Oreochromis niloticus: one gene and its partner. The main gene of each other region encodes a partner of the protein of the gene in region 2 in a complex. Links are inferred from orthologs where the notes say so. Each region holds a gene or a part of one and is shown on either strand. Other genes may lie near its edges. The genes, in order: vps51 and vps54.

Region 1 (7,705 bases), on a different chromosome or scaffold from region 2:
AGACGAGACAGCAGCAACAGAAGGGCTGGGGGAGTTGAACCTCCTTTGTCTCCGGCGGTCTCACAAAACTGCCGAGAAGACTGGCACACAAACTTGATAAAGCTCACCACCAGGCTCTCACGTACACCCTGGCTGCAGAATTCACCCTAAAAGGGAGGGGAGACACACACAAACCGGTATCACTCGCACAATGTAGAGACAACACGCAGGGTTACAGTAACACATGATGTCACACATTAGTTCAAACTCATATGAAAACTATAAAAGGTAGTTTGGGAGCAAAAAACCCCAGAAAATGTTCACCTTGAAGTACGGCTTGTTGGAGAATGTGATGTCCTTAGCTGTAAAGAGATGCACTGACGCCAGCACCGACTTAATCTGATTGAGAATTGAGGCTGACAGGGAGGAGAGCAGCTCTGGTAGGCTGGTTGGAGCGTCTCTGCCAGAGGCTGGCCCAGCCACAGAAGTGCCAGCCACAGAGAGACGAGGAGTTGCCAGAGCCTGCCTCACGTCTGTCAAGCTGTCCATGTAGAAGCTCTGCAGAGCGGAAAGGTACTGCTTGACTCGCTCCGTTGCCGCCCGTATCACAATCTCCGTCCCCTTGTTTGGCACAGCTGAGCCAGGCAGAAGTTTGGCCACAGCCTGGAGTCTGCGGTGGAAGCGGTCCAGCGCACGTACAAGTAGGGAGTTATCCCCGACCCCTTTCTCCTCTTGTATCCTCCGCTCGACAAGCATGAAATATCGAGCAGCCAGATCATCCACAAAGACATGCAGCTTGCCATTTGCCATCTGAGGAATATTTTTGGATGCCAGCTCACCCTTTTGAGCATGGTTGATAAACAGTTCTTGATAGGACGTGATTACCAAACATAAACTGCTCACAAACTCATTGCAGCCTCTGTCGATGAATTCCAGAATGTCAGTGTTTGATGCGGGGGAAGGCAGAGAGCTGTTTTTGGGAGAGCCATCGGCCGGCGATCCGGGGGCTGTTGTAGACGACAACCCATGCACGGAAGCATCTTTTGTGGCTGAGGTGGACGGGTACGGCCTTATCTCTGCTTCCAGGCCCTGAAGATCTGACTCAAGGCGAGACCGCGCGTGGCTCAGGAATTTATCACAGAGCTCTTCTGCTGGCTCATCCAACTGCAACAGAAGCTCCACACACTCTGATAAATCTTTGGCACTTGACCCACCATCCCTATGATCACAAGAAGAAAAGACAGAAGCAGAAATTTAATGAAACGTGTGATTTTTTTTTCCTGAAGTTTGGTCAGTTTTGGCTCACGCATCAGCCTCTTATAAAAGGAAAAGTTTTTGAGTTGGCATCTAAAACTACACTAAAAACTAAAACTAGGTGTGAAAGCACATCCTAGTCAACTTAAATAAAACTACACTATTTAAACTAGACTTTGGAAAAAAAACTTACTGAAACAGTATAAAACAAAACTACCCAAAATAAAACAAAACAAAACAAAGCAAAAATAGTATATATGTATAAAATTTGTCAATAAAACCTCTCTGATGAGGTTGATGTCCATTTGTTTATTGTCTATGAGTCAACTCAATTGCTGTTTTTTTAATTTTTTATTTTAATATCTATGCAGTTGTGTCAAACATGCTGTTTATGCCAATTAAAATTATTTTTGTTATATATTGTAATAACTAGTCATTGTCACCTGAACTTCTGTCGAAGCTCCTGTGCCAGCTTGTCCATGATGGCGTGACAGTCATCCTGAATTCCCTTGAAGGAGGGCAGGTGGCTGTACTGCTGCAGTACGCAGCGAGCACGGCGGTGGGTGTTCACTGCCTGAGCGTAGGCCTGCAGCTCCAAACATTTATTCAACCTTGCAGGGAGTTCAAACAGAAACTGCAGCTTCCTCAACAGAGTGTGAACACCTGGAGTGAGACATGGTAAGACCCCAAAAAATAAATAAAATACAAATCACACAATTAAAAAGTTTCATTCAAATAAACAGTCAGGTTAGGTCTCACCAGAGAGTTTGGTTATCTGCGCATGCTGGTCTTGAAGAGTGCCGCTGATCCGAGCGCTGAACTCTGTGATCGCAGCCATGTTAGCAGACAGACAATCCATTTCATCTTCCATCTTCTTGAAGTCATTCTTCATCTTTCTTATAGTGTCTGGCAGAAGGAAAGAAAAAGGAAGGCTGTTTCAGCTATCCAGGTTTGCACAATTTAATGTCAGCTTACGTTACAGCAGCAGCGTGTGTGTGTGTTTGTGATGTTCCCTTCACCTGTAGCTGATATAAACTTGTTGTAGTTTTCATACACCAGGGTCTGCATGTCGCTGTCCAAAGAGCGGATCTGCCTGACCATACAGGTCTCCTGGTCCATCAGCTCCGTGAGAGAGCACTCCCTCCTGAGCTGGATTTGGATATTTAAAAAAAGAAGTTACTGTACATATGCTTAGTGGTCATTTGTGTCTTCTATATGTAGTGTGATGTAGTATTAGCACTGGTTCATTTCTCACTGTTTGGCAAAGACAGGAGCAGATTTGTGTTTTAAAATTCACAGCCATCTATATCTTTACTTGTAGTGACATTACAACTGGGACAAATGAAGGAAGTACTCTGGTGTTTTCTTCAGTTCATGTAACATCACTGCAATCTGCACTGTGTATAGTATTGTCGATTTCAGCATTTCATGTTCTATTATCTGGCATCAAGCTTACGCTAAAATTCTGAAGCAGTCCAGCTTTGTGAGCCACTGAACGGATTACAATGACAATAGCAGTTTCGCACCTTGTTGAGATAGAGCTCCGGGTCAAAATGAGGCCCATTGATGTCGCAGGGATCCAGGGACTCCGGCTGCTCCGGGGCCTTTCCTTCCTCATTCAGCCCGTAGTACAGCTTCAACATGCCGTGCACTCTCCGCCTCCTTCCCGGGTCCTCAGCCACCGGCACCGAGCCCTCGTCCATAATGAACGGCGGCCAGCTGTGAAACGTTTAAAGTAAAATAACGATAAACAAAGGCGACGACAGACCAGCTGACAGGAGACAAACGACAGCCTCTAGCTGGGAAACGGCAACACAAAGCTCCTGTGTGACCGCTGTGTGTTTAGCCTCGCTGCCAACTGGAAACAACAAAATCATTCAGGATAAATATTCAGAAAATGTCATATTTTCTCTGAGGCAGAAGCAGCTAGGTGGAAGCGGTGTTGTTTCCGGGTTTCTAGCCTATCCGGTGTTACGTCGCCCACCAGTGCACGTAATCTAAACAGCCAATTAGAGCAGTTTCTCTTTGTTGATCTTTTTATTCACTATAGGCTTCAAAATTTATGTATTTTATGTAAGAATGTATGTTTTTGGCAAAGTATAGACAGAGACAAAGCTCATAATTGTTCAGGTAAGTGTTCTAGTTATGCGCACAACTGCGCATGTCCTAATTGGCACGTAACGCCATATTAAAATGCTTAGATTGAAGGAATCTTCCATTTTTGGGGGTTGTAGGGAAAAATTAAATGACACCAAAATGGATTAAATGTGTATGATAATCTGTGATCATAGCAAATCCTACAATGTTGAAATCAAGAAAAACACAAAGAAATGCTCATCCCTTGAGTGATCAGAGGAAAAAAACACTTTTATTATAAGATTTAAAATGTGACAAAAGTCTATATTTTATCATGAACATAAAAATCATAGAGGAATAATAATCTGGGATATAGTTCAGGTATTTGAAAATCATTTGTGAAAGCAGAAAATCAGAGGTTTTAGGTGCATGTTAAATCATTTCCACAGGAGCACTCACCAAGCTTTCTACATATATATCAACTCTTATCATACCTGCCATATATTAAAACATAAACATTTAACAATGAACTTATTTCCCCAAACAATTTGAAATGGATCTAGCTAAGATGGCACCTCAGTTAAGAAATTGTTGGCTCGACTCTAACATTATTCTACAACTGCAAGTGTTTAAGTAAAACAAAATGCCACAGAAATACTGATGAGAAGTTTGCATGACGTTATGTTATTAAATCATATGCAGAATAACATATTGGTTAAAATATGGCTTTAGTACACTTAAGCAGCAGGTAGCAGACTGAGGAAGGAATATTTGATGACAGGTATGTTCAGAAAAACGGGGCCACTTTCCATCATCTCATAATTTTAATGAAGGCCGAGCTGACAACCGAGAGGAATTACAGTACACTGTTCAACATCCGCCATCCAGTTACTCAAATATACTCACATCACATAACATAAAGGAAATACATCATTTTAAACCATAGCAATACCACAACTGTCCATTTTCTGGTTTCAATGCACCAAAACAGTAATTTAGACGCCAACCCAGTAGAAACAAAAAAGGCACTTTAAGCTTCTGTAAAGTGTTTGAGACCTATTTCTTCATTAACATATACAAACACTGGCAAGTACATGAAAACAAACCAAAAGAAAGTAAAAGTGTTCTCTCATAAAAGCTAACAAACAATACAAAACAAATCTCCTGCTGTAAAATGTTTAGAAACAGTGTATTAGTATTAACAAGTGCAGCATCACATGATGTGTAGACTGTCGGAATGCCTATTCTACAACGTGACATGCATAGTGTTTGTTGGCAACAACATACTGAGCTGCTGGCGTTAGTATACAGACAGCAGCTGATACACAAGTTGAAGCATAGAAAAGTAAGGACATTCTGCCGTTTGCATGCTGAGGAAAATCGAGAAGAATAGACCGCATGTGCCGCCACATCTCCAACGAGGGCACGTGTTCAAGTGGAAGGCGCTATTACAGAGATGTGGAGACAGAAACTGCCTCCCTTAGCATTAGTGTGGGGTTCAGAGTGACACCCGGGGGACTCTGCCAAGTGCTGGAGGCTAAAATCTGTCTCTGCAGCGTTAAGGTAGCACACACTTGGTTGCAGCATGTCAGACAGGCTTGCTTTGGTGGAAAGACTTAAGATTTTCAACAGTGTGGCCACAACTTGGTCCTTGTTTTGTGTTCAGAACACACAGTCGCTCTCTAGTGACAACCGGGTCAACAGATTGGTTAGCTTTTGGAGATAAAGTGAAGCAGAAATTGTTTTAATGCTATATAAATCTAATAATCAAGTAATGAAATTCTTTGCATTGGTAAATGAATCGTCGTAAAGCTGAAAACGAGGCCTTTTTCCCCAATGATGTCAACAGTGACCGTGTTTGCAGAAAAACAACACTGTTAGTTTCTTTAATGTCTACACTTTCAATTTATCTTCTGTCATGTCAGAAGTTGCACAAGAACAGTATTGCATCAGTTTTCTTGCTCATCAGGTCCAACAGTCAGGTTAGACTGTGCCGACAGATCGCTTGTACTAATCGTCCATGCTTTGAAATTTAACATTTGAATACAAGCATGGTGCGGCAGTGCTGGATGATCTTTAGATGAATATATTTTTTCCTACACAGGTTCTACAGTTTTATAGCTTTAATTCAATTCTTTTATTAGTGCAAATCCATTTAAACACTTGATACTGTGACCACAGAACTGCAGCTTCTTTAACAAGAAGTTTTAAAACTCACATTTTTAAAGCAGGTCGTCGTGCCACCTCTTTCAAACTAGCTGCAGATATCGCTTAATATTGACTTTGTCAAAAACTCCTGTACTTACAAAAGTCCTCCACAACACAGCCAATGTGCTCCCATAAGGATTGTTTATGGTCAGGATAGCCGGACGCGACACGTTTCTACTTTTTCTGAAGTGGCTTCACCCTTTGTAGAGATCAAGGCACTGGCAGTTTGAAAAAAGCAGAATAGCGGAAATGCACCCTTAGATAGTCCCCTGAAAAATGTTTGTCATGCTGACTGTTGCCGTTTGTGGTATCGCTTAAAGTCTGAGGTGGAGTCACGAAAGCTTTAAATATTCTTAATGCTCAATCCCCGATAAGATGAGTAGAGGTAATGCAGTGGTTATACTCATTTGAGGTGCAACATGTTTGAATAATAGCAGTAAATCCGCTTCCAGAGCGCTGCAGAAAGGTCAAAAACAGTTATTGACTGGAGTCACTGTTTGAGGATTATTATAAGGCTTGTCTCACACTTATTCATCATATGATCTTTACAATAGGCTGTTTAAGGAACACCCACTTCAGTTGAACCTTGGAAGCATAGCTGCTAGATCTTTTTTCACATTACTGTACTCGCTTAATGTACACAACTTCAGAAGATAAATATTGTCACTCACACTTGGATTGCTGTCATTTGGTCCTTTACATGTTCATATATTAGCAGATAAATGTCTCAAGCTCAAAGTACATCTCTCCTTTTTTTTTTGTTTTAAATCTCAGTGTAAAATGTTCAGATTTGGTCTCTGAGAGGATCGGGTCAGATCTGATGGGCGACTTTAACCCTGCTCCAGACTCTCTGTTTGCACTGCAGAGTAGGACACTGCAGACGCCTGTCGGGCGAAGAAAGACGCGGCTCTCTTGGGCTTCAAGCGTTTGATTTCTTTTCCTAAAAAAACAAAAAACAAAAATGAACAAATGCTGAAAAGAAAAAAAATCTCTGATACTGTGAAACGGCACAGAAGGAGCTACCTCCAGAAAGGATAACCCTGCTGTTAAACAAGTTTGGCCCTCACCGTCATCGACGTAGCTGATGGTGTTAAGCGACTGGACTCTGCTGCACACAACGCTGCCTTGCCTGTGCAGCATCCCGCGCCTTCCGCCACGCCCATTCTTGCTCCTTTCTTCCTGTCCGCCGGGCTGCTGTGACAAACTCACCTCGCCGTCCATCTCGGCTGCAGCTGCCCCCTCGGACGCAGACTTAAGCTCCACGCAGAACTCGATGAAGCCGCTCATGAGCTCCGCCTTGTTGGATGGGACAAAAAAAAAATTCAGTGTAAATTCAATGAATAGTTTATATAATCGCCACACGTAAAGTACAAATTCTTTTTTACACTAATTAATTAATAATAAATGAACAGTACTCATTCATACGTGATTATTTTTGAGCTTTTATGTATAACATCTTGACATATGTTTGACTAAGACACTTTTCAATATCAAATAACTAAAGACCCAACATAAAATACTCACAACATATATGAAATGCAAATGCACACTAAAAACGATATAAGGCTAAAAAACACTTTAAACAAAATAAATATGGGTCTTGTGTGGCATCATCCTTTGTGGCACATACTAGATGACCCTCACACAGTCCCCATGACTCGAGAGCCTCCTTGAGGGCTCTGGCTAACATTTCCCCTGCATGGTCGTCAAGAAGACAGCACGTCTGCAAACACTGACTGCAGTGCGTCTGGTCTCGGGTGAAGTGCACTGTGCATACATTTGATGCTGCAGTGTAGCATGCTACATTGTAGATTTCCTCCAATGTTTTGGCCCGACACTCATAATATAAATGAGGCAACTGGACTTGCGTGAAGTGTTTTCGGCTGGACATGTCAAGTGTTTTGACCAATTTAGAAATCCCTGTTTCTCGACATTCTAAGTTAGGACCGTGTCTTTATAGATAAAAGCTGCAATAGCTGCTATTATCTCCTTCCATCTTTGTGAGTCTATTATATGGCGCGCCGAGGGTAAAGGCTGTTCTAACACTTGACTCTGTTGTATTTTGAGCACCTAACGGTTCTTTTTTTGCTTCTCATTTGTGAACCCTCTCCATACTCTTTCATGTGATCCTTGCGTAGGTGCTAGAACAGGTTTGTTGTGTCGGAATCTGTGGTGGGGACTGGTTTGT
Region 2 (7,511 bases):
CCTGACAAGGGAAATTTCTTGGGAAACTCCAAATAAACTTTGTAGTTTTTCGGATAATCCTCTTTAGCTCCTTCACTCTTCCTTGCTGTGATCAAACTTGCCTTTACAGCTTCATCTCTATTAGATTTAGTCTAGGTTAAGATATTTTGCTGTAGGTGCATGAGCTGTATCAAGTCAGGGACTTTCTGAAGTCTCTTCTCCCCGTCTCCCTCTCTCTGCAGGTTTGTGGTTTCAAAATGATGATTTCTTGAAATTGGCAGCTTTTAGTATCAAGTCTTCCCCTTCTGTTGTACGCCATTCGTGACAGCAACAATACATTAAAAAAAAATTATTGGTGGCTGAATCTAATTAACCTTTGAATTTGAGTGTTTTTAGACCCATTGCCACAGTCTGCCTTTACAAACTTTTGTGAAAGAATGAATCACTCTAACAAGCTCAGAAAATTCAAGTGTGGTACTGCAAGAGGAGGCATCCTAGTCTAAGTCTTCCCTCCTAGATATGATCAACTGTGGGGGTATTGTAGGGGATGTTATTGCAAAGTGGAAGCGTTTAGGAATCACAGCAGCTCAGCCTCAAAGTAGCAGACTGTATAAAGTTATACTGTGATTGCTAAGTGTTGAAGTGCATAATGTGTAAAAGTTGCCAATCTTCTGCTGGCTCAGTAAATGCTGAGTGGCATGGGTTTCAATGGCTGAGCAACTCTTGTATGTGTAATGTGTTGGTGTTCCTTTAGTTTTGCCATAAAGTCTTTTACACATTCATCTAACCAGCAAAAGATCCCAAGTTTGATCATGGGACAAGACACAAACCTCTTAATGGTTGCGTCAGGAAGAACATCCAGTACAAAAAAAATACCTGCTATAGCGACCCCTTGCTGCAGCTGTAGAGTATTGACTGGTGCAGCTTTCAACAGTGCTGCATTAAATCTAAAAAGAGTTCTATCAACCTCCAGTCAGTAAGCTTACATACATCTGCAACGTGTTGAAAGTGCGCTCAGGTGTGCTTAAATTCTTTAAAAGTTGATGCAGACATTTTCTGCAGCATCTGTAGCGCAAAATGCAAGCTGACAAAAAGCTGACCAAGGCGGCAACACCTGATCAAACACAAAATACATCTGAACTTTGACCACATTTCATATTTGATGCTCTGCTGATTCAACTGGAAAAAGTACCTAGCTCCACCTGCCTGAGCCAATAGACTTGTGCTGCTTTTTGGCCGTCTTACAATTGTTATACAAGGAGAAACTACCTATAGGGTCAAAAGGTTTTGTGTACCACCCTGTAAAATGCTTTAACTACTGTAGAAGCAGACATTTTAACATGAGTTACATTACTGTCTTTTGGACCAAAGCTCACATGGCCATGGAAGAACTGCATTTTTAGAATTTTATCTTGGCTCCATTTTACAGCCCTGGTGGTTAACAACTGAAAGAAAACTGCTGGTTAAATGGCAGCTGTAAACCAATGATATGTGGCTGTGCTAACAGTCAGTTGTAATCTGACTGCTCAAACTGTGGAGGTGTATGACCCTCTGCTGTTAATCCCATCACACAAATGAGAGGATTACAGATCTGCGCGCTCCCCATTATTATCAGAACTGTTTTTGGCTCCTTCATATTGGTTTTACATTTTAAAAAATGTTTTCAAAATATTAAGAACCATCTTAACACATAAAACTTCAGACTTGTCACAGATTCAAGCTCTCACAACCATCTTGGATCCTTGGTCCGTCAATTTTCTACCACCCACTGCAACTGCATGGAGCTAAAAATAGGAATGATTGTCCGATTCATCTTTTTGAAGACAGACTGCTTTGAAGGAATGGCAGTAATATGGTTTGCCAGAGATTAAAATAAGTATCATTTGAATTTATTTATGCAGGTACATCAGGTATATAAACTGGCTAGTTCTTCACTATATGACATATAAGACATGTCAAGCAGTAACACTGAATCCCAACCATAAAAGAAAAAAAAAAAACAAGCACGAGCAGCTTATAACACCTTCCTCATTTATTTTCATTTGCCCCTCGTAGACAACCGTTGTAAAATACTCAAAACCAATAAATCCTCAGCAAATTACAGTAAAACAGGAGCATAACTGCACAGAGATGTTCTTGCTAAGATCATAAAAGCTCAGTTATATTTCTATGTTGACATGTTAAGGCCTGAATCAGTAATTTTTCTTTTTTCAAGGAATACTTGTTAAACAAAAAACTGTGCGCCATCATATATTAGGATCTTATTAATTAATCGAGCTTTTAATCCTTATCTCAGTATCAGCAAAAGTGAAAGTACAATACCAAGGGCAGCCGCTGTACTGAACTCGATTCCACTTGTTTCCATCACATTATAGTCTACTCAGCGAGAACTGATTATTTTCAGGCATAAACGTTGCCTTGTAATGTAAATCAGCAACCCTAATATATTCCGGAAATGCCAAGTGCCAAGAAATAAACATGGCCGTAAATTTCCTCACCGAATAACACATCTCGTGATTATTTTTGAGCTGAGAAAAAACAGCTGTCACTTGTACTCATTTAATGTTTGATATTAAAATGTTTATGCTTTCGCCTGTCATCGTTGCTGTGCCTCCCATCGGGACAAGTAGATGTAACAGAAGCTATGCAGCTAGCCTTAGCCTAGCTACAGTGCACGCATTGCCAGCAGGTGTTTGCATTACAACCGTTCATGCTGACAGTGAAGTCAATGCCTAACAGCAACATGAAACACACAAAACTAATTGCAGTTTTGTTGTCAGTGGCTGATGTGGCGCAGAATATTCGCGGCCTTAGCTACATGCTAGAGCTAACGCTACAGCTAATGTTGTCAACGGCAGTTACACGTAGACTGGCCAATGCTAGCAAGTTAGCCGGATACAACTACCCCAAAAGGCGACATAAAAACACCAAAGAAAGCCAGGAATGACAGGGGACCAAGAGGCTTCATTTGGACACCTACCTGTCATGTAAAATAAAGCGGACGGTGTGTCTTTTCTTCATAATCACAGTAGCACTAAAGGAAACGAGGGGAAAACAATAGGACTCACAGCAGTTAATACCGGTATACGGACCATCATGCACTGCCGGAAAGAGGAACGAACATCAACGTCAGGTTCTTTATTTGCCTTATTGCAAGTTTCAGTCTTGAAAGCTCGCTGCTGCCCCCTGCTAACTAAAGCTGAATCGGTCCGTATCAATGTTATTGGTCCATATACAAGAGACAACAAAGTGCGCACTCACCGGCCACTTTTTTTTAGATACAGCTGTTAAACTGTTAAATATAAATATAAATATAGCAGATCTAATATAGCAGCAACTCAGCATTTTGTCATGTAGACATTGTCAAGACGAACTGCTGTTCAAATTGAGTATCAGAACGGGCAACGAAAGGTGATTTAAGTGATTTTGAAGCAGGGTTTAACGAAACTGCAAAACTAGGGTTGCCAACCGTCCCTTGAAAAACGGAATCGTCCCGTATTGAGCTGAAAAGGGACGCACTTTGTCCCGTAATACAGTGAGAATCAAAAGTAGTCTATAACTTTTAATGGAATTAACGCTTTGTTTGAAAACTTAATTCCCAGCCCCTCTCCTGCTTTGTGACCAATGAGCTGACAGCACACTTATGACAATTCAGATTACCTCTCATTGGTCGAGGAAAGGTCGCTTGCGGAGAAAATACCGGAAGGCAACAGATGACCACAACAAGAAGCATGGCCAACAGGGAAACAAACGCTGACACTGCGGTGCAAGTAGTGATGGATAGATGAGGCCTCGTGAAGCGTTTCAGCACATTCCCCAAACTGTATCGATACTGTGTCGACAGTGTTGCTGTTTTGCTCCATACTGACACCTGCTGGACCTTAAATATCATTGCAGGCAACTTACTTGAGACTCGGACACTGATTCAATGACCTAGTTATATTATACTTTTATACTTGTATACACTGTAAGTTATTGTACTTTCCATGGAATCATTTTATATGTTTTACATTGCAAATAGTGTAGACATCTTTAGTCATCTGAGTCAATTTAAATGTAATTGCCTCAGACTTTATTATAAATTTCCTTTCAGAAAAATAAGTTTATCCAATGTTTTTGCATTCAGTCTATTGCGGGGTTTTTTGACACCATTTCCCCAGCTTTGGAAAACTCAGAGGCACAGATGAAGCTGGGGTACACAAAAACTGTAAAGCCAGGTGGAAAAGGTTCTGATAACGTCTTCCTATTCCCCCAGTACGTTAAAGGATCCTCTGATCTTGGAATGTTTCTCTCCACAATACTAAGGGGTTGACAGTCCTTTATAATAAAATTCAGGACTGCCTGGCCCAGAACAGTCTTCCTAGATGCTTGATTTGAAAATAATAAAACACATATTGAAAAAAAAAAAAAAAAAGATGATAAAGCTGTTCAGTGTCAATATAGGCCTACCTGTGTTCATTCTCGGTGTGTTTGTCTCCTCATTTTCATGTTTGTCTCTGTAATGCCTAAACACTGGGGAGGTGCTTTTGTTTGTGTAAGAAAGCTCCACAGAACAGATGCAACATTTAACCTGCACAAAATGAAATAAATAATTTACACTGCAAGTCACATTGCTGGTTTTCCTATTCTGATAGATTACACTGAAACAAAGACAGACGAACTATTTGCAGTTAAAAGTTAAAAATGATCCCACACAGCAGAAACATTTCTTTTTCTTTCGGGCTCCATTTTGTTATGGAGAGATGTGTATTTTTATTTATCTTTGCGAGAGTAATTTTGTGGGGGTCTTTGGTGGCCTCATTCCGTTGGCAGATGCGGTACCTTTTAGACACAGTTTGGCGCGTTGGCAATGAGCGATACAGCAGCTGTATCGATCACGTGACTTTTTCTTAAAGCGACGCATGCACCGATACAGGCTTCGCTAGGTGAGCTTGATACATGCGTCAGTGCGTCAGTGTTGCTGGACCCATCACTAGGTGCAAGTCTCGGACGACAGTACACCTGGGCATACACTGTGCGATTTTTTTCAGTCACGTTATTCAGCTCCTACTCAAACTGCACAATCGACTCGCAGGGGTTATAAGTTCATAGGTCACGATGCAAGGTCTCACAATATACCGGTTGCTCTGATGCGACCTGAGTCCTCACACAGCAATTTAGCAAAGTTGATGGTGGTGGCGTGAGTCTGTGTGAGTGAAAGACAGAGAGGGAGAGCGAGCGACAGATTTTCTGTTATAACCTTCATTTTTATGGACGCACAGTGTGAGCACTCAGGTCGCATCAGAGCATCGGGCGTATAGTGTGAGACCCTGCATCGTGACCTGCGAACTTCTAACCCCTGCGAGTCAATCGTGCAGTTTGAGCTGAAGCTGACTGGAAAAATCGCACAGTGTATGCCCAGCTTAAGCCCAGCATTAGACCAGCAATGTTTGTTCCCCTCAGAGAAAGAAAAAAAAAGGCTGCAAAAGTACTGGGAGGAATGGGAAAAGGAAAACACCTGGCTGGAAAAATGCACGATAACACCTATAAAGCGCACTGCACTGTGTGCCTGCGCACTTTTTCCATAGGCATGCTTCTAATGGTGGGCACATGAAGAACATGAGGGGCGTGAAAGTTCGGGGAACCCTTAACCAATTTTTTGTCCACCAGGCCACGGCAGAAGCAGATATGGTATGTAAACACTGGTTTGTTTTTTTTAAACCCTCTGGTTAAGGTTAATATGGGCATGTGCAGTGAATATCAGCGCTATGTGGCCAGAAGTGTGATAATATAATTTATTTTGTGTAATAAACAACTGCAGGGATAGATGATTACAACAAACAGATGACTAATACATAAAAGTAATACATAGATGAATAATGATGATGAGTTATGATGCGTAATCATGGGAACAAGTGGGTTTACAAACGGCAGCAGCTGATTAGCATTAGAAAAGCTGAAATAATACCTCAACTGAAGCCAATTGCACTAAAAGCACTATATGTGCACTGTTACAAGAATGTTTTTCGTTCTATTGTTTTCTATTAATTTATATAATTTTAAGTTAAGCAGGACAGAGTTCTTTTAAAGAAAGATTTACTTATATTCTCAAAAGTTAAGCATGACAGGCTTCTGTTTAAGAAAGAGACCTGTTTTATTGTGTTAATGTTGTCATTTTGAGCTAAAAATAAATGGCTAAATGATCATTTGTTTCCCATGTGTTCATATCACAAAGAATATACATCTACTTAAATCAAATTCAAGTCAAATGGTTAAAAAAAATAATTTCACACACAAAAAAAAGAGCTACAAAATTCACCACACTGGGAACGGTGAAGACAACTGGGTCGCCCGGTGTTCCAGATCAACTGGCGTTTAGATCAACTGGCGTTGGTCGAACAGATGTGTGGCAGTCTTGTGTTTCAGGAGCTGCTACCGACAAACCAGCAAAAAAAAAACGCCAAATGTGTCATCTGTGACACTTGTGAGGTTATCTCAAACACACTCCGTCAGTCTTGATGCCGTTGAACAACAAAATGTTTAAAAATGTCGCGAGTTTACCTGGTGATATCCTCATGCGCGACGCGATCGCGAAAACAGCAAACAATTAACACCATGCCGGTATTCTTCACAGGACAGCAAGAGTAAACGATCAGGAGACTCTTGTCGTCGTTATCGTCCCCCTCGCACGTTTTATATCTCCGGGTTCAGCGTTTTTGCTTCACAACTAAAGCGTGCAGTTTACTTTGTGTGCACTAACATGGACTCGAGTCAACCAGCGCCACCTCTGGCCAAGTGCCACAGCCTACAGCCAGATCAACTTGTGACACACATCTGCACCACGTTTGAATTCGTTTCATGCACAACACATTTGTACCTTTCAATTGTGTCTGTTTGTGCGTCATGCAAATAAACCTTTGAAAAGAATGAAATGATATCATATATTTATTGTGGCCTACATTTGAAACGCAAGACTGCCACACATCTGTTCGACCAACGCCAGTTGATCTAAACGCCAGTTGATCTGGAACACTGGGCCTGGCCACGAGGTGTCCCTTATTTATTTTTCAGGGAGTTGGCAACCCTATGCAACTGCATCATTTCAATGAAATAACCTACAAGAGTACTGTTATTGAACTTTCCGTCTTCTTATGACCACAGTGTCCCCATCTTTTGATGGCTACTTTCAGCAGGATCTCGCCATGCCGCAAAGCTAAAATAATTTCAAAGTGGTTTACTGAAAACGATATATTTAAACGGTGTCACGGTAGAGCCTATCCCAGCTGTCGAGAGCCAGCTTACAGCCTGGACAGGTCACCAGTCTAACAGGGTTAACGAAGAGAGATAGACAACCTCACAATGTCACCTATGGCCAGTTTAACCTAACCCCACTAACTGCATGTCTTTGGACTGTGGGAGGAAGCCGGAGTACGCGGATAGAACCCACGCAAACACGGGGAGAACATGCATAGCATGATGGTGGAACTGAACTCAGAACCTTCCTGCTGTGATACAACAATGCTAACTAATTTATTTCTCGCTGGTAATGCCCT

Evidence for each region.
Region 1: vps54 (region 2) and vps51 share a complex: the UniProt entries of both Homo sapiens proteins name them as parts of the golgi-associated retrograde protein (GARP) complex. The link is inferred for Oreochromis niloticus from reciprocal best matches to the Homo sapiens genes VPS54 and VPS51.

Annotation. Positions count from the first base shown.
Region 1 is NC_031975.2:9,248,804-9,256,508, forward strand, and holds the start of vps51 (vacuolar protein sorting-associated protein 51 homolog), read right to left. Parts: upstream 3,212-7,705; 5' UTR 2,937-3,211; coding exon 2,760-2,936; intron 2,383-2,759; coding exon 2,253-2,382; intron 2,140-2,252; coding exon 1,993-2,139; intron 1,897-1,992; coding exon 1,677-1,896; intron 1,199-1,676; coding exon 304-1,198; intron 147-303; coding exon 1-146. Other genes in the region: frmd8 (FERM domain-containing protein 8), read right to left, coding at 6,348-6,457, 6,585-6,813. UniProt on the Homo sapiens protein: Acts as a component of the GARP complex that is involved in retrograde transport from early and late endosomes to the trans-Golgi network (TGN).
Region 2 is NC_031971.2:1,113,356-1,120,866, forward strand, and holds the start of vps54 (vacuolar protein sorting-associated protein 54), read right to left. Parts: upstream 3,159-7,511; 5' UTR 3,078-3,158; coding exon 3,048-3,077; exon of another isoform or gene 2,967-3,047; coding exon of another isoform or gene 2,960-2,966; intron 1-2,959. UniProt on the Homo sapiens protein: Acts as a component of the GARP complex that is involved in retrograde transport from early and late endosomes to the trans-Golgi network (TGN).